2 linked regions of the Rhinolophus ferrumequinum genome follow. The protein of the gene in region 1 binds, or shares a complex with, the protein of each later gene. Links are inferred from orthologs where the notes say so. Each region holds a gene or a part of one and is shown in the gene's direction. Other genes may lie near its edges.

What was found. Proteins that work in one complex are often made in the same cells at the same time.
Region 2: the proteins of EDNRB (region 1) and EDN1 are in contact, whole or in part, in a cryo-EM structure (PDB 8XWP), measured with the Homo sapiens proteins. The link is inferred for Rhinolophus ferrumequinum from reciprocal best matches to the Homo sapiens genes EDNRB and EDN1. Residues at the interface, in NP_000106.1 of Homo sapiens: Pro88, Pro89, Ile94, Glu95, Ile157, Asn158, Lys161, Glu165, Asp166, Trp167, Val177, Pro178, Gln181, Lys182, Val185, Phe240, Ile243, Met245, Tyr247, Leu252, Ile254, Leu256, Leu257, His258, Pro259, Lys270, Lys273, Leu277, Trp336, Leu339; in NP_001403492.1 of Homo sapiens: Cys53, Ser54, Cys55, Ser56, Ser57, Leu58, Glu62, Cys63, Val64, Tyr65, Phe66, Cys67, His68, Leu69, Asp70, Ile71, Ile72, Trp73.

The regions. Positions count from the first base shown.
Region 1 is NC_046287.1:28,618,936-28,629,296, reverse strand, and holds the start of EDNRB (endothelin receptor type B), read left to right. Parts: upstream 1-6,332; 5' UTR 6,333-6,377; coding exon 6,378-6,857; intron 6,858-10,361. UniProt on the Homo sapiens protein: Non-specific receptor for endothelin 1, 2, and 3. Mediates its action by association with G proteins that activate a phosphatidylinositol-calcium second messenger system.
Region 2 is NC_046292.1:81,921,646-81,930,964, reverse strand, and holds the start of EDN1 (endothelin-1), read left to right. Parts: upstream 1-4,667; 5' UTR 4,668-5,131; coding exon 5,132-5,195; intron 5,196-6,761; coding exon 6,762-6,933; intron 6,934-8,380; coding exon 8,381-8,539; intron 8,540-8,909; coding exon 8,910-9,023; intron 9,024-9,319. UniProt on the Homo sapiens protein: Endothelins are endothelium-derived vasoconstrictor peptides. Probable ligand for G-protein coupled receptors EDNRA and EDNRB which activates PTK2B, BCAR1, BCAR3 and, GTPases RAP1 and RHOA cascade in glomerular mesangial cells.

The DNA.
Region 1 (10,361 bases):
GGTGGTGCCTGGAGAAGCCAAGCTACACACAGGCTGGCTGTTGCTAGTGCCGGGCCTGGTGGCTAATAGACAAGAGGTACAAGAAATGCAAAAACCATATGCTATTTGTTTGGGTTTTGTGCACCTTTGAGAGATTTTAGTAAAGTCTGCAGCATGAGCCAAGACAGCCTGTTTGTATGGAAAAGCCACTGGAAGCAGCTTGGGTAGGCCTGAAAGTTGGGTGTGGCAGAGTCTCAGGGAATTACCGGGATCGGACTAATCAACAGTGTTAGCCAGGTTGATAGAGACTCAGACATGGCGGCTGTCTGCGTCTGCACACTGGGAGTGGGGAGGGCTCAATGAAGACACAATGGCTTCTCCGAGCTCCTCAATCCAGGAGAAAGCTGTCCCTCCAGCTCTCACTCTGAAGCCAGACAATTCAGTCCCTCCCTGTATGTCCCTGGTGCCTTTTGAGATGCTGCCCTAGTGATGGAGCTCAGAGCAAGTGAGTCCATCAGCGAGTAAGTCTGCAAGAGCCCTTAAATGGGAGGACCTGAAACTCCACCCAAACTTGTCTCACTGAGCCACAATTTCTGCTGGTTTTCACAGCCAGAAGTTATAGGACTTCTCTTACTGGCACTGAAACCCCAGGCTGGGGATTCTGGTGTGGGGCTGGGGGGACCTCCACAGCTGAGATATCCCTCCCAATTTTTAATGGTCCCACGTGAGTGTTGCATCAGCCCATTCTGGTCTCTGCCCCACCTACCAGTCCCAAGGTGGCTTTTAATGTATGTCTGTAGTTGTAGGGTTTCAGTTCAGTTAGACTTCAAGGGATTCTCAGTATGGTTGTTCTGTAGTTTAGTTGTGATTTTTGATGTGGTCATGAGAGGAGGCAAGCACAGTGTTTTAAAGTACTCTATTTTGTAATGCAAAGAACTTTTCCTTTTTTGAAAGAAATAACAACTCGCCTTTATTCAACAATAAATTGTTAAACTTTGAAGCTTCTCTTTCTAATTTCCTTTGACTATTTTACATCCCTCTGGACATACCATTAGGATATCCAAAGAATGAAAATAAGGAAAGGTGAAAATTAAAGAATATAGTTAGAGATCCATAAACTCATCATAAATTATAAACCATATGAAATAACAGCCCCCCAAATGAGTGCCTTGCATATAGTAGAATTCAAATGTGATACAAGTTTTTGCTCCTATTTACAAATGAAATTTATACAAGATGTTAACTACTGGTGAATGTACAAATAAATTTATCAGTAAGATATTTTACATGTCATAAGTTGAAAAAAACAAAGCAAAACAAAAAGCAACCTTGTATCTGTGGTAGTATTTTGTCCATGATTGAAAGGCTAAGAATAATTTACATAAATGTCAAGCATGCACTGACAGACCATGAAAGCACAGGTTGGACTGCCTGTTTAGCCTGAAAAATTTCTAATACATTTTTAAAGTTGTGCCAAAGAGTTCTTGTGAATTCTTTTAAAGAGTTTGTAGACTGGGTTACATTCTTTTTTTTTTCCCACTGATGCTGGTGTAAAAAGAAAAAAATACATCAGAGAAACAAATATAAAAATTACTTAAGCCATAACCAGGAGAGCAAACCTTTTAATTAAATCCTTTAATTAAAGTAGACCGTAGCCTACTAGTAGAAGTAGCTGAACTATACTGCTTTTCTCAGACAGGAAAAAAGGAAGTGTGATCTTCCTGTTTCTCATAATATTCAGTAAGCAAAAAAAGAATGAATTATGCCTTATTTCTAGTTACTATAAGTCTATCAAATTTTCATGACTTTAGGGGCATGGGCTAGAACGAGGCACTATCACACAACCATCAGTGAAGTTTCAGATCCTAGATTCTCTCATTTATAATCACTCCTCTGATTTATGAATCATGTTTCAGTTGCAGAAGTTGATAATAAGTACAAAAAGTTGTCAAAGCAGAAATAATGTCATAATTAAACTTTTAATAGGAATAGTGTCCAAATTCAAAATAGTCGATTTTTGCTGTTATACTTTAGAAGGATAAATGCATTTTCATAAAAGCCTCATTAAGTATGCATCACAGGGATGTACACATTTGTCAGATTTCTTAAAATTGTGTACTTATGCCCTGTCCATTTACCTATATATAAATCATACCTTAATGTAAAAAGAATTTTAAAACATCCTTAATTGTAGGTTACAAAGAGCTACAGTCAAATAAGAGAAAAATCCAAGAAATAGAAATGCTCAGGCTGTTTTCTATTGATTTGTGCAGTCATTTTAAATCTTCTTTTCTTCAACCACTATTTGATCATTGGATCCGTTCCTAGGGGAATGTGTGGAGAAGCAATTGAACCAACTCTTTCTGTGTTTTTCACATACCTTGTCCCTCAGCATTCATGATTTAGAGAATGCAAGGTAGATTTTTGAAGGGTACATTCATATCAAGGGGACTACATAAAAGTATTAGCTTTTTTGTGGTTAAAGGGGCTTTTCTTTGTTCTCTTACCAGGGAAAAAAGTTTGCTTTGGGCGAGTTCCCCATGGCAAAGCTCTTTGAGGAATGAATTCTGAAGTGCATTCAACCATTCAACCATGTCTTCAGGACCACCTTCTAGTTAAAGCATTTTAAATGGATAGTGGGACATTGTCCTTCACCACCCTTTCTGTCTTTGATGGGTGATTTTAGCCAATCTGAGATTTTGATACACTTCCTAGGAAACTTCAAAAAGTGCCTTAATGAAAGTAATTTTGTAAAAGATTCCACATGTACTAAGTAAAAAAAAAATTCTTTATAAATGCTAACTACAAAATTAATTCAAACTCAAAAGTTTTCAGTGAAGGAGCATTCACATGTGATACAAGTTTTTGCTCCTATTTACAAATGAAATTTACACAAGATGTTAACTACTGGTGAATTTATAAATAAATTTATCAATAAGGAACTTTACAAGTCATAAGGTGAAAAAAAAGCAAAACAAAAAGCAACCTTGTATCTGTGGTAGTATTGTACAGGACATGAATAGAGAAAGCAAAAAAGAAGAATCATGTTCTCACTTTTCTGCTCTTCAGGGTCAGTTAGGTTGTCTGTCAGACTGCTGTGTTAGAGCAAGAAGTAACTTTAGAGATCATCTAATCATTTCCCTCCATTTTACAAATGGGGAACCTAAGACTGAATTTCTTGTGGCTTGATTAAGGTCATTCATGAGGATCAAATAATAAATCTTTCACATGGTTACCTTTACATTTTCAGTCAATTTAAGATGAAACTTCAAATAAATATTACCGATGTCTAAAACACTGCTCTCTCAAAATAAGAAAAAACTCTGTTCAGACTCTATGTATTTAAATTAATCAAGAGTACAGTCTGTGTAACCAGATAGTCTTGGATTCAAATCCTGGCTCCAAATCATAGTCCCACAACTAACTAGCCATGTGACCTTGAGTGAATTTTTGATACTATATTCCACTACCTGTAAAACCATGAAAAACAATTTCTAACTCAAAGACTGCTGTGAGGGAGTATATGAGACCCTGTAATGAGGTGCCTAATATAGATAGTAGGCCCTATAATAGGTAGCCAATAATTGTATTTTAAATTCCAGATGAGGAATGTGTATATTTACCTTAAAATTATTTGGTTTTGCTCTTGAGCCCTACAGCTAGAGTTACTAAAATATAATTAAATAACTTAAAATATAATTATCAGATCTATAAAAAATATTTCTTTGAGCTTAACTTGTGGCCCGTATTGTGATGGTACCAAAACAACACTCAGTTTTTCAGGATTGTACCTATCGTGAAAAAGAAATTCACATGAAATCAATAGAAACCCATAAAAGTCTCTATGTGATCAAGTGCTCAAAGATGTTTAACGGTGTTACAGTGCTATGAGAAAAAGGAAGAGGTAGATCTCAGTGAAGCTTAGAATAGACATCTAGGACTGAGTGGAAGAAAGATGAATGCAAGTGGTGATGAAGATGGAAGAGTGAATGGGAGAGAAAGTGGCCCTATCTGTAGGGTTTCTATGTATGGTGGGAAGAAGGCTTGTATATGAAGTCACGTCCAAAACTGAGCAAAATATTCATACTCCAAATGAATGTATGGAGCACCCATATCATTCCTCATTCACATAACACTGTATATTGTTACTTAGATCGGCTTTGAAGCAACTGAATGTTGACCTTGTTCTTACCCAGACAGGGAGGATAAGTGCTACGCTCAAAATAGCCAGATTTGGAATTAGCACTCACAACCCTAGGCCATATTTCACATTCCTTTCGCCTTACTCCTTAACATTGTTCTTTAGACAATATTTCACACTTAAAATTCACCTTTTAAAAATACAAATTGATTTTCCACTTCCACTTTCCCAAAAAGCATAGGAGTCAAAAATTCAAGTTTGTGTCCCATCTGTGCCATGAACGAGCTGTGAAGCCAGGAGTGAGCCACCTAGTCTCTACATGAGTTGAGTTGCTACATGAAATGGTTCTTTTTGGGTCAGAAATTTCACAGACCCAACAAGTTGACTGTAAGACAGCAGTCAACGTGCATCGCACAGGTTGAATTTCTGACTTCTGTTTTATAAAATCGTTGGGAAAAACTGTCAGCCTATTGTTTCTCTCTCTCCCATAAAAATTGAGTTAAAGGGTGGATAGGAAAAAGTTATTTTATGGCTCTGCCTGATAAACATCATCCTGAATTTGTACGGCAGCTTTCTGATTATTTTCCTGTCCCCTGTAGGTATCAGGTCTCTCAACAGGATAAAAATCCCTGAGGTGGCCTGACAATAACACTTCAGGCCATAGCACGGAAAGAGTACAGCAGCTGCTAGAGATGGTGAGGGAAGGACTGTAGTCCTCTCCTAGGGCAGTGAGGGGGCTTCAGAAGAAAGGGTTAGGCTCTTCCGTTTTGGGATGGATGTGGACTGGAAATTGAAGAACAAAATAAAAACAGAGCGAAGAGCAGCGCCCCCCAAACCAACCAGGTCTTAGATATCAAGCGGGATATTTAATGGAAAGAAAAGTCACAGACATGAAAAGTCCATGTTAACACGTTTAATAGAGAACCCAAATGCGTCACCGAGTGCGTAGAAACTTGTCCTCGTGTTAATAATTCAGATCTGTGACGAAGTGCCTCCCTCATATCTGGCTGAGAAGTGACTCTCCTCTCCAGCGGGCAGCTCCTGCTGATGCCGTCCAGGCGTCTCCCAGGAAGGAAAGGTTTCCGCGCAGTCGGAAGGCGCGGGAGGAGTCTGGCGGTGATTGATAGGGAAGGGACGAATGAATATAAGTACTTATCTAGGAACAGCAGAGACTGGGAGTAAGCTGCAGGGGCTACACGGTCTGGCATTCCCTCCGCGTTTCGTCAGAGCCAGACCCGCCTGCAGCTGAAGGGAGGTGCGCTCTGCTCCCGGCGCTGGACAGACCGAGCTGTGCGAGCCCAGCACTTCCCGAGAAGGAAGTCCTCGCTGGTCGCTCCGCGCCTGGTGCGTCCCATTCGCGAGGTAAACATTCTGGCTTAGCGTTGAATTAAAATCAGTGATTGAACCTTGTCCTGGGGTTTAAGCTTGGATTACTAGTTTGGGATATCTATATCTATAGATATAGATATCCCAAATTATATGTATTCCCCCAAAATAATAGTATATAATATACATATATTACAAACACAGCGAGTTGAAGTTGCAGTAAAGGAGGGCGTTTGGAAGGGACAGAAGCTTCGGAATTAATGCTGATAGTCTTCCGAAGTCGAACGGAGTTAAGAAGCCAGATTTTCCGAGCCAGCCGGCGCACTCCTGCTGGCGCCTAGGCACCTGAGCGCAGGCAGCCGGAGAGCAGCGGCTTTCACCCACCAGGAGTCTTGGCGTTCAGAGACGCGGTATCGGAGTTCCCCGCGGAGCCAAATGCAGAAATGGGCTCATGCCCTTGGCCTCCGGATGCCTTGATTTCCCCAGTCCCCACGCGTCCTTAGCCAGAATGTACATGCTTACTCAGGGCACGTCAAGAAGCCCGAGAGTTTTGCCTTGGATACCCACCCTTTCTCCACCCCCCCCACAGCACTCCTTCCAGAGCGCCCCGCCCCACTGCGAGTTATTTACCATCAGGGGTGGGGGGGGAGGGCGGGAGGAGGACGCAGGGGAGAAAAACCACTGGGAAATCTGGTTCAGGAAGGACAGTCGACGGGCGCAGGCAGGTCGCACACGCCAGTTTCCCACTGGCGCCCAAACTAGAGTTACTTTTGCGCGCAGAGAAACGGCGCCTCTGCACTCGGCGTTAGCGGCTTGCAGGGGCGTGACTGGGATAGCTGACCCCAGTGTCCTGTCTTCCTTCCCCTGCTGGTTTTTCAGACTCTGAAAGCAGCGGAGCGGCCAGCCAACGCTCACTGGAGCAGGCAGCAGCATGCGGCTGCTGCCAAGCCTGTGCGGACGCGCCCTGGTGGCGCTGATCCTTGCCTGCAGCGTGGCGGATGTCCAGGGAGAAGAGACGGGATTCCCGCCGACTGGGGCCACTCCGCTCCTTTTGGGGACCAGAGAGATAATGACGCCCCCCACTAAGGCCTCCTGGCTGAGGGGGTCCAACGCCAGCGTGACGGGGTCGTCCGCACCGCCGCAGATGCCTGAAACAGGGAAGCCGGGGGGAACCCCTGCACGTATCCCTCCCCCGTGCCATGGATACATCGAGATCAGACAGTCTTTCAAGTATATCAACACGGTGGTGTCCTGCCTAGTGTTCGTGGTGGGGGTCATCGGAAACGCCACCCTGCTGAAGATCATTTGCAAGAACAAGAGCATGCGAAACGGCCCTAACATCTTGATCGCCAGCCTGGCCCTCGGAGACCTGCTGCACATCCTCCTGGACATCCCCGTCCATGTGTACAAGGTAAAGGGCGGCCGCTAATATCAGGATGGGGGCCCACAGGTTAGAGAGGGCGAGGGGGAGCCTTCGGAGGGACTTCGCCCCAGGAGATCCATCCCCTCCTGAAGGCCAGTACCCATCGGAACCACGTTCCCTTCTGGTCTTCAGTACCCACTGCTAAGTAAGCCTGCAACAAGTATCGTCTCCAGGCCGGTGCATCAACATCACCAGGGAATGTGTTAGAAATGACACTGTGTGGCCTCAGACCTAATCTGGGTGGGGCACTTTTTTTTTTTCCCCATTTTAAAAGCCCTTCATGTGATTATGATGAACTGTAAAGTTTGAGAATCACTAATCCTGAAGGATCTTGTTCCTAAGTGTCCAGCTCACTGAGTACATTCTCTCTCCTCTAAGGTTTGGTCCAAGGACTGGCAGTCTTGAGAGCCTGTTAGAACTCCAAGTCCACCCCAGACTTGCTAAATCAAACCTGCATCTTAAGATACCGAGGTGATTTGTACGCACCCTAACCTTGGGAAGAGTTTTCTTGAGGACCCTGAAAGTAGAGGGGCTGGAATCCATTTTTAGGAAATGGTCTAGGAGAAAGAGACCCAGACAGTTCCCCTGCTGCGAATGACTACACTGTTTTTACTTTTTATTGGATGCCCACAATGAGCCAAGCACTGGGATAGATGTGTCACTCTCCTTTACTCCTTCTCACAACGAGTAAATGTCACTTTGTGTTAGGATGTTCACGGTTTCACAATGAGTAAGAGATGGAGGTGGGAATCAGGCTAATCTGCCAGGTTCCAAAGTGCTGGCTGCACCGCGTAGATTACTTCATGGACAAGACCAAGAGAATAAAACTTAAAATCTATAAAGAATGGTTTTAGTAGCTAACATTATTGTGTGATCACAACTGGCATCAGAGGGAACAGGTGTGGACAGCAAGAGCAGGACATAAACTCCCATGTTATGTGACTCCAGGTTGCTTTGGAACTCTGGACACATCCCAACGTCTCTGGGCTTCAGTTTCCTCAGCTCTGCTAAGGCTGCTAGTGTCCACTTACTAGGGTTTTGTGGTGTTAAGAAAAATAGTGAAAGAACTGGAAGCTGTTAAAGGACTGTTGCAAATGTGTAAAACTCTGCTTCCCCATCATGAGCAACAATAAAAAATTACCTATAAAACAGAACCAAAGTGTAAGGGAACGGGAACGTGTTTCACAGATTTTCTTAAAGCTAGTCCTGGATTTGGTACAGGAAAAAAAAAAGGGGGTGGTTGTAGGGTTGGGAAAGGCTTTTAGTGTATATTTAAATCTCTGTGGCAGGAGAAGTTATAAGGAATGCTTTACATTACCCTTCATGAATCTAACCCAGATAGCAATATTTTAAGGGAAATCTAGATATTTCTGAGGTTAGGAGAAGATAGGATTTGAATTAGGATTCAGGCCCTAAAAGGAAATACTCCCATAAATGAAGGATAAATAAAAGAAATTCTAAAATCCTGCATAACAACTCGTTCTTATGAACTCTGAGGGTTACTGAGAGAAGCACAGACTGAAATGGGTCCCTTAAACGCAGTCACAGTTCCATTTTGGCCAGATGTGACCCGTTTACTTTTCAAGGAGTCACATAGATCAAGTTTTACCCCCTCAATTTCGTAGAGGAATTTCAATTCAATTCATCAAAACTGACTTGAGAACCTTTAGAGTACAAGGTTTTGTGAGAAATTTTAAAAGAAGTGAAATACTATCCCTCTCAAAAGGGAAGTTACATCTAGTTTTGCTAGGCTTGAACAGAATTTTGTGAAAGGTCTGTTTAGGGAGGTCCCAGGAAGCCCCACACTTCCAGCCCAGGTAGAGACCTTCCTAAGTCAGCCAGCACCTGAAGGAGCTGAGAAGGTATGGAAGGTGGAGCTGAGAACATTTTTCCTTTGGTATATTGATTCAGGCAAGATGTAAATCAGCCCTTCCAGGGCCATTCGACTTTCTCGATCGGGTCAAATTATTACACTCATTTAGTCAAAATATTTGACTCCCAAGGGGGAATACAGTTTTTATTTTCATTTCAAATTTCTTTATGATTTCCTAGGAAGTTACATCCTTTGCCTGAAGCCATTTAGTCTGTTAAAACTGTGTTTTTACTTCTGACATAAACAAACTAATGCGTCATTACAAATCAGGACATCTAGTCTTGTATATTGGTCATTAAAAATCCATCACAAAGAATTAGGTCCCATCTCTAGGTTGACCATCATGGGACCCTACATGGTAGCCTTTGGTTGATTTTTATAATATGCGTAAATAGGTGTCACTTGAGGCATAATGTAACAGTAATGGCGACTATTTATTATGGTACTTGATTTATTTATTAAAGCCCTGCCACAAACCTTATGGAGGAGGTATTGTTATCACCCCCCCTTATATGGGGAAACTGCATCTTGGAGAGGTGAAGAAGTAACTTGCCCAACGTCACACCCTAGAAAGTAATGAAACTAGGTTGGAACCCAGGCCATCTGGGCCTAGAACCTGTGATCCTCCCCTTCCCCCTGCACTGAGCAAGCTCAGGCACAGCACACCTTTCTCCAACCTGGAGTATTGTTAGGGCCCCATTGGAGTGTGTTGGTGGCATTAAGTGATACACTGTCACACGGTAGGATACTTGGTAAGTGTTTTCGGTTTTAATTTCAGTCATCTGAAGTCATCTTTCTATCTGCTGAAATCCCCTTCAGATGGTGGTAGTGCGTAGTATTGATAGTATTGATCACAGCGTTGTTTGTTATTCTAAAGGCTTTATTTTCCAAAACACCTAATCTAGGACTAGATAAAAGCTATTTATTCCCCTAAATAATTATGACACCATATAAGTAAGTTTCTAAAAATGCACTTATCATTTCAGAGTAATCAGGTATTATACTTCACAGAAAGTAATTTAAGTGAATTATGAATGCCATTTAAATTTATCCTAAAGTGGAAGACTTGAATCTCTAAACCAGTGATTTCTAATTTTCTTTTTGTGGGATGTTACAATTCTCTTTGAGAATCAAGTTAATTATTTGTATTGTATATAATTAGTACATTATATATAATTTATGTAACTATAATTAATATATAATACACACACTCGTGTGTGTGTATGTGCGTGTGTGTGCGTGTGTATATACATTTACAATTTCTGGGGGTTCATAGAATCCTCCAACCCATCTGTTGGCACACCCAAGGGCCGAGAGACATCAATGTAAATTTATTACATTAATTTGGAGTTCAGTAAATGTGGAGTTTAATAAAATTGACAAACCGCAAAATGTCATAGAATCTTGCTGGAAGCCATAGTCTTTGATACCACTATAGAATAAGACAGGATATCAAAGGAAGGTGCTGCTGTAAGGGGCTGACAAACCTTAGGAAATATGTCTGCTCTGCCAGACACCCTCAAGGAACTGAATCTCTGGAAACTTCTAGATAGAGTCAATCCTCTCACCAGGTCTCCTGTGTCAGGAAGGGAATCCAATGTAGAAGACCAAAGAAGTAT
Region 2 (9,319 bases), on another chromosome or scaffold:
GAAACTCTGAAAAACAGAAAAGAAATTCACAATCAGAATTAAATGGAGTCATGAAAAGGATTTTGATTGCAGTCGACTTAAAACCAGAGTCAGCCTACGGATTGCCACACACATGCAACTTGCTTAAGAAAACGTGAAGGCAGGTATCGTATTTGTAAGGCACCTGCCCTCCAGAATGAGTTTATTTTCAAACACGTGTCTAGAACGTTTACGTAAATCAGGTTTAATGAAATGACTTGACCGTAGTCCACTCACCCTCACGTGCTGTTCTACCCTGGCGTTAGAATCCCTTTAGCTCCACATGTCATAAATGACACGGAATTAAAATTAAAAATAAAAATAGGGGGAGGCATCCATTGCCATCACATTTTTCTAGTCTCTCTCTGAGGTGTGACATATTACAATCACTCTCCTATCCCAATCTACAGGTTCAGATATGTGTGTGTGTGTGTGTATATCAGTAAAAACACTTAAAAGGACATTTAAATTCAGGATAGAGGGTTGAAAATATCATAAAGGACAACAGCCAAAATATTGAAGGGAGAGCCACGGGGAAGTACCAACTAGGAACTTTTGGGTTATATAAACTCTTTGTGTTTTCAGATCCTGGAACTCACGTTTCTTTGAAGTGCATGCATCCTTGCGAGAGTTTGATGTGGAATATTTTGAGTTTATCTTAGAAAGTAGAAGTCAGAGAGTAGAATTAAACCAGAGCTTAATTCTTAACATAATAAGTATAAGACATTGCAGTGGAAAGAACTGTGTTCCCTGAGAGTGGTAAGCATGCTTGTGTTTATAAGGTACATGGTTGAATAGTTTTTATTTCCAATAATAGCTTAATAAATACACAATGATTATGTTTAATTTAACATGTATTAAACTATGATTTCTGTACATCATTTAACCATATAAATAAATATGTATATTACTTAACCATACAAAGCATGATTTCATGTACATTATTGCTTAGGATAGTAATGACAGTAAATTTCCTTAAAATTATTCAAATAAAGAACTAAGTCAGTTAGTTCCTTAAAAGTATTCAAATAAAGAACTAGATCAGTTAGTTGGATGGAAAAGTATTCAGTAAAAATGTATGGGTGGCCCACAAATATGGCAAAAGCTGTGAAAGAGGTTTATGAATGACTGGGAAATGCTAAATTAAAAAACTGAGGCATATTCTTTTAAACGAAACACTTGCTCTCTGTTGTTGTATGGATGAAAGTGTCAAGGAAGTGGAGTTGCATACGGTATATGTTTTTAAAATGCATGGGATGAATCCCTCCTGAGCATTATCCTATTCCTGTGCAAAATCAACCATTAAATTTTGGACTGTGGGAAGAAGCTGCAGTGGTTCACGGCTGGTGGAGGTGTGTAATGTATCATGGAGTAATGTCTTAGTGCACAATCTTTCACAACGGCCCTATGCAAAGTAGCAACGTGAAATAGTCAGCAGTGCACCAATGAACCCGGCATGGATAGCTTCCCAGTGCCTGCAATAAACTAGTTCCCCATTCTTTGTGCTGGTGTCAAGCAACCTAACGGCTGTTCTTTTTGCTGAGCTAAATGTAACATCTCACACCAGATTTATTGGCTTGGCAAAGTTGCAAACCTTATTACGCAAAAGTTGAGAAAGAGCAAAGCTGAAGAGTGCTAAAAACAGTACACTTTGCTACTGTGTAGTATCTGTATTTGGGGCTCAGGGTGTTTTATTTATAGATATCTATTAATACACAGCAAAAGATACAGAAAGAAACACATTAAAAATACGTTTATCAACTGGTTTCTAGTATTCAAGTGTTACAACAAAAGCAAGAACAGCAACAACAAACTGTTCTGTTGGGCGGGGAGAAGCCATCTTCTTCACCTCTTCTCTCCCTTCCCTTTCCTCTCTGAGGAGGAGTGTGGCGACAAAGAGCCTTTCCCCTCCTAAACTTTGGAGGGGCGGAGTGGGGGGCTGTGGACGGAGGTGGGGTCTCCACACTCACGACTGTGTCCAGCTCTTTCAACCTCCTCCTTTCCTACCTCCCTCTCTAGCAATGCTTCAAGTGGAGGAGAGGTGGGGGCATCTAGCTTGTAAAACTGGTTTGTTAAGGTTCTTTCTCCCTCCCCCTCTTGCTCCTTGGAAAACTTTTTTGCTGGGTAGCTGCCTGGCAGTGCCATAACTGAATTCTCTGGGCTTGAAAGGGACTTCCCCTTCCTTCTAGAGTAAGAAAAAAGTGCTGCTGCAAGAGGCCAAGATGGAGCGATGGACGGAGAAGGCAGATACCACCATTCTCCCATGACACACAAAGGAAGAGAGGTAGAAGTACACACACATACATGCCGGTATGCATCTTAGAAACTCAGGATTCAAAAGGATGGGCCAAGATTGTACTTGGAACGATGGGACCCTCCCAAGTCTGAAACCCTGTGCATTAACTTTAGCAGAGCCCTAGAAGGCCCTAGGTGAGAGGTGCAGGGCAGATCATTGCCACCCACTTCTTGTATTTATAATTAAAATACATTCACAAGAAGACAGACAGAAGAGAGGAGGGAGGGCTGTGGGAAGGCGTGTGGGCAGTTTCATTTTGCTTCACTTCCCTACCTAATCGTTGGGTGCTGCTGGCACCAGCAAGGGCAGCCTACCAAGGTGGGGGTGGCTGTGCAGAGACTGGCTTCCTTGCTGGAGGGTAGTTCAGACTGGCCCCGGGGAGACTGGGAGGGTAAGGGCGGTGGTTTCCAGGGAGGAGCTTAGGACAGGTTGGTCCTGACCGTGGCCAGTGTTCTGTCAAAGGTGTCAAAGGTGTGTGTTGGGGTAGCCCTGGCAAGACACAATTCCCTCACCACCTTTCCCTTGCTGAGGAAAGCTTGGATCTTGTGAATATGACATCAGCTTCCTCTGCTGTTATTGTGGTTTTCTGGGGGGGAAGAGGTTGGGATGCACTGGCCAGAGCTGAGGGGGCCAGAGTTGACTTCCTGCTTGGTGCCACCCAGTTCTAGAGGGAGCTATGCCCTCCCCAGCACCTAGGGCTGGGCGAGGTAAGCAAAGGGAGGGAGCAGAGGGCCCAGGCAGAGGCTCCTCGGGTTGGGTGGAGGCCTCTCTGGATGAGAGTGTGGGAGGGCGGGACCCTGCCTCGCTCCCATCTCTAGCTCTTGTGCACTGGGACACTTTAGGAGACAGATCTCATTATGGAAATGACACTGCTACTGTTACTGTCTCCCAAACTGTGGTGACTTCTAGGGAGATCCAGGGGGCCCAACTGTGCTCAGGCCCACAGTTTTGGTGTTGGGACAAAAATCTCTCCTTTCGATTCTAGAGGAGAAGGAGGAAGACACGGTTCATGGCATCCTCTTGAGTATTGGACATGGGTCTACATTTGAATATGCCCCACTCCCCGCTTCCACAGGGGAGGAAGTTGGGGTAAAACAAGATGAAGATGTGGAGGAAGCCCCTGTTTGATGGAGTCCCTACACGCTAGATGCAGAGTCATCTTTTTCTTGTGTGCAGATGTTCTAAACTTATTCCATAGGCCTTACTCAGAGCACTGTGAGAAATTTGGGGGAGCATGGAAACTGGTGCTTCAGTTTTGTCTCTTGAAAAATGAGCCTAACTGAAAATACCAATGTCTTACATTTATGTTTTGCTTTGTACATTACAGCAAGTTGTCACCTCCGCAGTAACTGCCCTGTGGGTACCTCAGGGGATATTTCAAGGTTAAATAGACAGGAAATTGCTTTGGAAATGTAAACACATTAGTAAATGTGAGGTATTAGGTGATCCCCTTATTCAGCATGGCCATTTTCTCCTTCCCAACACCTCATTGCATATTCAACTAACCCTATACAAGAACACCCTTTGTCCTAAACGAAGAAAGCAAAGCATAAAACCCAGAAAATATGTCCCTGTGTAGGGGACATCCCCCTATCTTATGTTAGGAGCTATTCCTCGCCCTTTGTCAGATCCCACTTCAGGTTGCATTTCCTTCGGTTGGAAGCCAGGGCCTTTACGTTTTGTCCTCAGAAAACATCAGCCCCTGTAGCTCTTGGTCGCCCCCTGGCGTTCCTCTCCCGCTATTTCTTAAGATTGGTGCTGTTGAACCTGGGGCGTTCTGGGCAGGGGAAGAGGGTGGACACAGAAAAATCCTTGGGGAGGGGGGTTCTAATCAGTAATACTGAAAGGATTGGGTATGTGCCTGAAAGGGCTCTAATTTTTCTGTTTGAATAAACTTCATTTCCTTGCCATTCTCTCACCGATCTTTTTCACCGTGGAAGCAAAAAACTTCAGCAAAAAAAAAAAAAAACTTAGGGGAGGGGGCTTGGAACAAGGGGAAAGCACGTTAATCTGCCAAAATAATTTGACCCCGAGTAGGGGAGAGTGAAGAGGGGAAACATTCTCTTGTTTGATCAACACTGAGAAATCAGAGACATAAAAGGAAAATGAAGTGAACAACAATTAAAAAAAAAAATCCCCGCACACAATACAATCTATTTAAACTGTAGCTCATACTTTTCATACCAATGGTATGACTTTTCTGGAGTCCCTGTTCTGATTCTTGAACTCTGGGGCTGGCAACTTGCAAAGGGGAAGCAGACTCCAGCGCCGCACGGGCAGGTTTACCAAAGGTCTCCAATGGGTATTTTCTTTTTCTTAGCCCTGCCCCTGAATTGTCAGACGGCGGGCGTCTGCCTCTGAAGTTAGCAGTGATTTCCTTTAGAGCCTGGCCTTATCTCCGGCTGCACGTTGCCTGTTGGTGACTAATAACACAATAACATTGTCTGGGGCTGGAATAAAGTTGGAGCTGTTTACCCCCACTCTATAGGGGTTCAATATAAAAAGCCGGCGGAGAGCTGTCCAAGCCAGACGCGCTTCTGCATCTGCGCTGGGGCAAGTGCTGCGAAGGTCCTCGGGTCTCCGCTGGTGTCCCCGCATCGCAAGCCACCCGCCGCGTGCGTCTTCAGACGGCTCCCACTGCCTTCTCTCCTGGCAGAAACTTCTTTTTCTCCCCATTAAGGAGCACTTAGACTGAAGGATCACTTTGAGATCAGAGTAACTAGAAGCGCTTTGAGGGAACTGAAGCTGCTTTTCTTCGTTTTTTTTTTTTCCTTCGGGTTTAGTTTGCAGCGGAGGAATTTTGATCCCTTTTACAGAATGGATTATTTCCCCATGATTTTCTCTCTGCTGTTTGTGGCTTTCCAGGGAGCTCCAGAAACAGGTAGGCACGTTGACTTGTAAATATCTGAATGTTAATGTCTTCTTATCCACTTTAATGCTTTTCTTGCTTCTGTTTTTTTCCCTTCCTTTTACTACTGCAGCTCAGATATCAAGTGTCTGGGAATTATCGCTCAAAGCTACTTAAGTTTTCTACTGGGAAAAAATTCCTCTATTGAATACAATGGCTCCTATAGCATTAAAATAACATTGTCGTTAGTGCATACAGTATTTCCTCGGCTTTTAACAATGCAACTCAAGAAACGTAAAGGCAAGATTAATTTAGCCAAATGTATATTTGCAATATATGTGTTCATACAGGTATTAGGACATATAAGAATGTATATCTCATTCAAATACCGTTTTAATAATGTGTTAATGTGTAAAATATTTAAACATTTCAGCTTGAAGCCAAGGAATTTTATTCAAGTCATTCAAGCAATATATGAGCAGTAAAATCACCTGCAGAACAGTCTGTTGAATAACCCCCTCAGGCGGTTTCAGGGTGAAGCAGATGTTTTCTTTAAAAATTTGTCATTATTGACTTTAGGTTTCTTTTGGCAGATTTTTGGCACCCAAAACAGTGTGAGCTCTATTTACAGTTTTATTCACCTGTCCTGGGAGGGGAGCTGGGGTAAATCTTGGCTGCTTAAGGATTTAGATAGGACATGTGCATCTGCCCAGGTCCCCCTTCTAGGGTCAATGCACTGTTTTTGTCTTTTCGTGACCCTGACTAAAGAGAAAGGATGTCAAGGGAATGAAAATCCTGGAATGTGTCTGATCATTTGAAATGTACAAAATTGGGCAGATAAGCTGCTTGGCTAACTTGCCTGTGCTACAGCGGGGTGGGGGAGGAGGTGATCCCACAGATGCCAGGCTGTGCCGGCCGGGGCTTCTGAATTCTACACCCACAGAACCTTGCCGAGGTCCCCGAGCTGCTCCTCAGCTTCACCTTAGCTCAGTGGTTTCTGTGGAGCTGACCTCCTGGGATGAATATTGTAAAGCTGATTTCTCATCTTTCCCTCCAATGATCTCCCTAAAGTTTTTGACCTCCGCCTAATTTCATCGGGTATATATTATCTGGGCTACTCCCTGCCCTACACATGGCGTGAAGAGGGTGCTCCCCTCACGGGAAGGGCATATGCTGCACAGGGAGGTGGCTGCCAACCTAGGAGGATGCAGTGTGATTTACTTAATTTTAGATTTGTGGTCATTGGCCAATTTTAAGCCACTGACGGTTCTGCTGTCTTACTAAGTTCCATGCCGAAGCCAACCCAGATTTCTAACCGGCCGCTTGGAAGGCTGCTTCAGGGGGCTGGTGAGGCCCTTTCCAAGCGGTTGTTCCCCCCACGCTTGTATAATCTCTCTGAAGGTGGATAAGGCAGTAGGGGTAGAGGTGAAGCCGTGTTAAGCAGGGAAACAAGTAAAGAGCCCTTTTCCTCTGTGTGGCTTGCTGAAGGCAGGTTGTGCGCTTCATCCGCTTTTACCTGCTCTGCTAGATCGGGCGTCAGTCACGTGATGCAGCATCTCTGAGGAGACATCCCCGCTGACCTGCTCTTTCTCTCCGCAGCCGTCTTGGGCGCCGAGCTCAGCACCGGGGCGGACAGCGGAGGAGAGAAGCCGTCTCCCAGTGCACCCTGGCGGCCCCGCCGCCGCTCCAAGCGCTGCTCCTGCTCTTCCTTGATGGATAAAGAGTGTGTCTACTTCTGCCATCTGGACATTATCTGGGTCAACACTCCCGAGTGAGTCTCTAGAGGGCATCGTCACTCTAGTCATCTGTTTGCTCTGGCGTCACCAGAGAATGGACCTTAGTCACTCTAGCTCCTTTTCGGGGAAGCTCCTGGTTTGGATGCTGAAGGTAGCCTTTCTGACAACATGGAAGTGCCTCATTGGGTGGGGACAGTGCCCCTCCATTCCTGAAAAGAACAGGATAACTTGCTTCTTAGCAACACAGGAGAGGGTCTTCTGAGAGCGGTAGCTCAGATCTCACATGACAGGACAGATGGAAAGAGCTGCTGGCTAGCAGGAGGCTGCCACCCATTTCTGAGGAGAAGCTAAGTGTGGGGCGTTGGGGGAATGTTTTCTCAGTGGGATCTGTCTGGGTTTAGGGACTGAGGTGCCGAGGTCATATGACTTCTCAGGGGATGGTAGAGACTTACGAGGCAGAAGCAATTATAGAGATTTATAATCCAATCCCTCATTTTACTTATAGAAAAACTAAGACCCAAAATGTTGAAGTCACTTGCCCAACAATGAGTTGGTGACTACGCTAGACCTAGAACCTGGATGTTCTGACCCCTCTGGACTTTCCCCTTAGAAAAGCTCATTTCAAGACATGATAGAAATATGGCCTGTAGATTTCTCTCCTGCGTCTAGAGTGAGGAAAGCACTTTCTCCCCCTTCACCCTGGAAGCTAGCTCCCCCATCAGCATCACAAACAAAAACATGTTTATTGTGCCTACAGTGTCCCAGTATGGTGAGGGATGACCAAAATCCGAACAAAATCAAATCAAACCAAACCCAGCCCACTATGAGCCCAATACTTAGTAAGGTGATTCTCCCAAGGGGCGAACTTTTTTTCTTAGGTGAGAATCAAATCGGGCACATTGGAAATTACTGGGAGCATCCTGGCACAGAGTCCTTCTATAGTCATACCACCAGATTGCCCAAGATGTTCAAACTTGGGAGTAGTATGTCTCCTTCTGCCCCCTCAGGGGCACGTACAGCATTATCATGTGGCTTGAATTGAAAATAGGTTTTCAAAATCTCGTCAATCGTGGTTTTGAATGGTTTTGAAATCCCCCTTTTCTTTCCTCCCATAGTTGTTAACTAAATAGAATGTTAGACAAGGAAGAAAATATGAAACAGATACCAAAGCAGAGATGTCATAATTTTGGACAAAAAATAATGCAGCTTGTGTCGAGAAGAAATTAAACGTTGTTAAGAGTTGGAATTCAATGGAATTTCATTGAGTTAAAAAAAAACTGGTTTCTTCTGGTTGGGTAGACACACTCAGGGCCCTTGACAGGCATGTGACCCTGACGTGCCATACTTCATTCCCCTAAATTTCTCTACCAAACACCACGTGGTGAGCTCCTTGTGTCCAAATGGAATGAGTTTGCCCTACAGAATGCATCATTTTGACTATAAATTACGCTAATATGTTTTGTTCCTCTCTTTTGATAATAGGCACATTGTTCCATATGGACTTGGAAGCCCTTCTAGGTCCAAGCGATCCTTAAAGGATTTATTTCCTACAAAAGCAACAGACCACAGGAACAGATGCCAGTGTGCCAGCCAAAAAGACAAGAAGTGCTGGAATTTTTGCCAAGCAGGAAAAGAACTCAGGTGAGTAAAAACCTTTGCTTTTGAACAGTTTTATGGCCTTGTGACCATCTTCCTATGATAATGCTGCAAATCAGAAGCACAAGCTTCCAGTTATAGAATAAATAAGCCACAGGGATGTAGTGGACAACACAGGGAATGTGTCAATAACATCAGAACCTCGCACTGTGGCAGATGGATACTAGCCTTATTGTGGTGGTCACATCGTAAGGTGTATAAATGTCGAATCACTATGTTGTACACTTGAAACTAAAATAATATTGTACGTCAACTATACTCTAATATTTTTTTTTCAAAGAGAGATTAACAGAGGCATTGAGAGCAAATGAAGATACCATTGCTGAAATGTTTTTCTCTACGTGTATTTCAACAGGGACCAAGACACTATGGAGAAAGGCCCGAATGACCGTAAGAAAGGAAAAGACTGTTCCCAGCTTGGAAAGAAGTGCATTCATCAGCAGCTGGTGGAAGGAAGAAAAATAAGACGGTAAGAGGTTCCTAAGAGCAGCTAGTCCCTGTCACCAGTGCTAATGCTCTGCTCCCCCAGTCATTCTTTCTTTGATGGGTTAGAAAGGCTTAGAAGACAAAGGGGATCTTCATATTCTATAGACTAAAAGGAGCAAAGGAATCCCTCTCAAATACTTTTTTTGAAGGCCCCGAATGCAGACTGTTGCCCACTTTTGTGATCCTTAGCAACCCCCCCCCCCAGTAAAAAGGGAGATTTTGCAAACAATATACATCTAGACACACCTTAGTCTTTTGGTCATATCCAGCCTTGGCCTC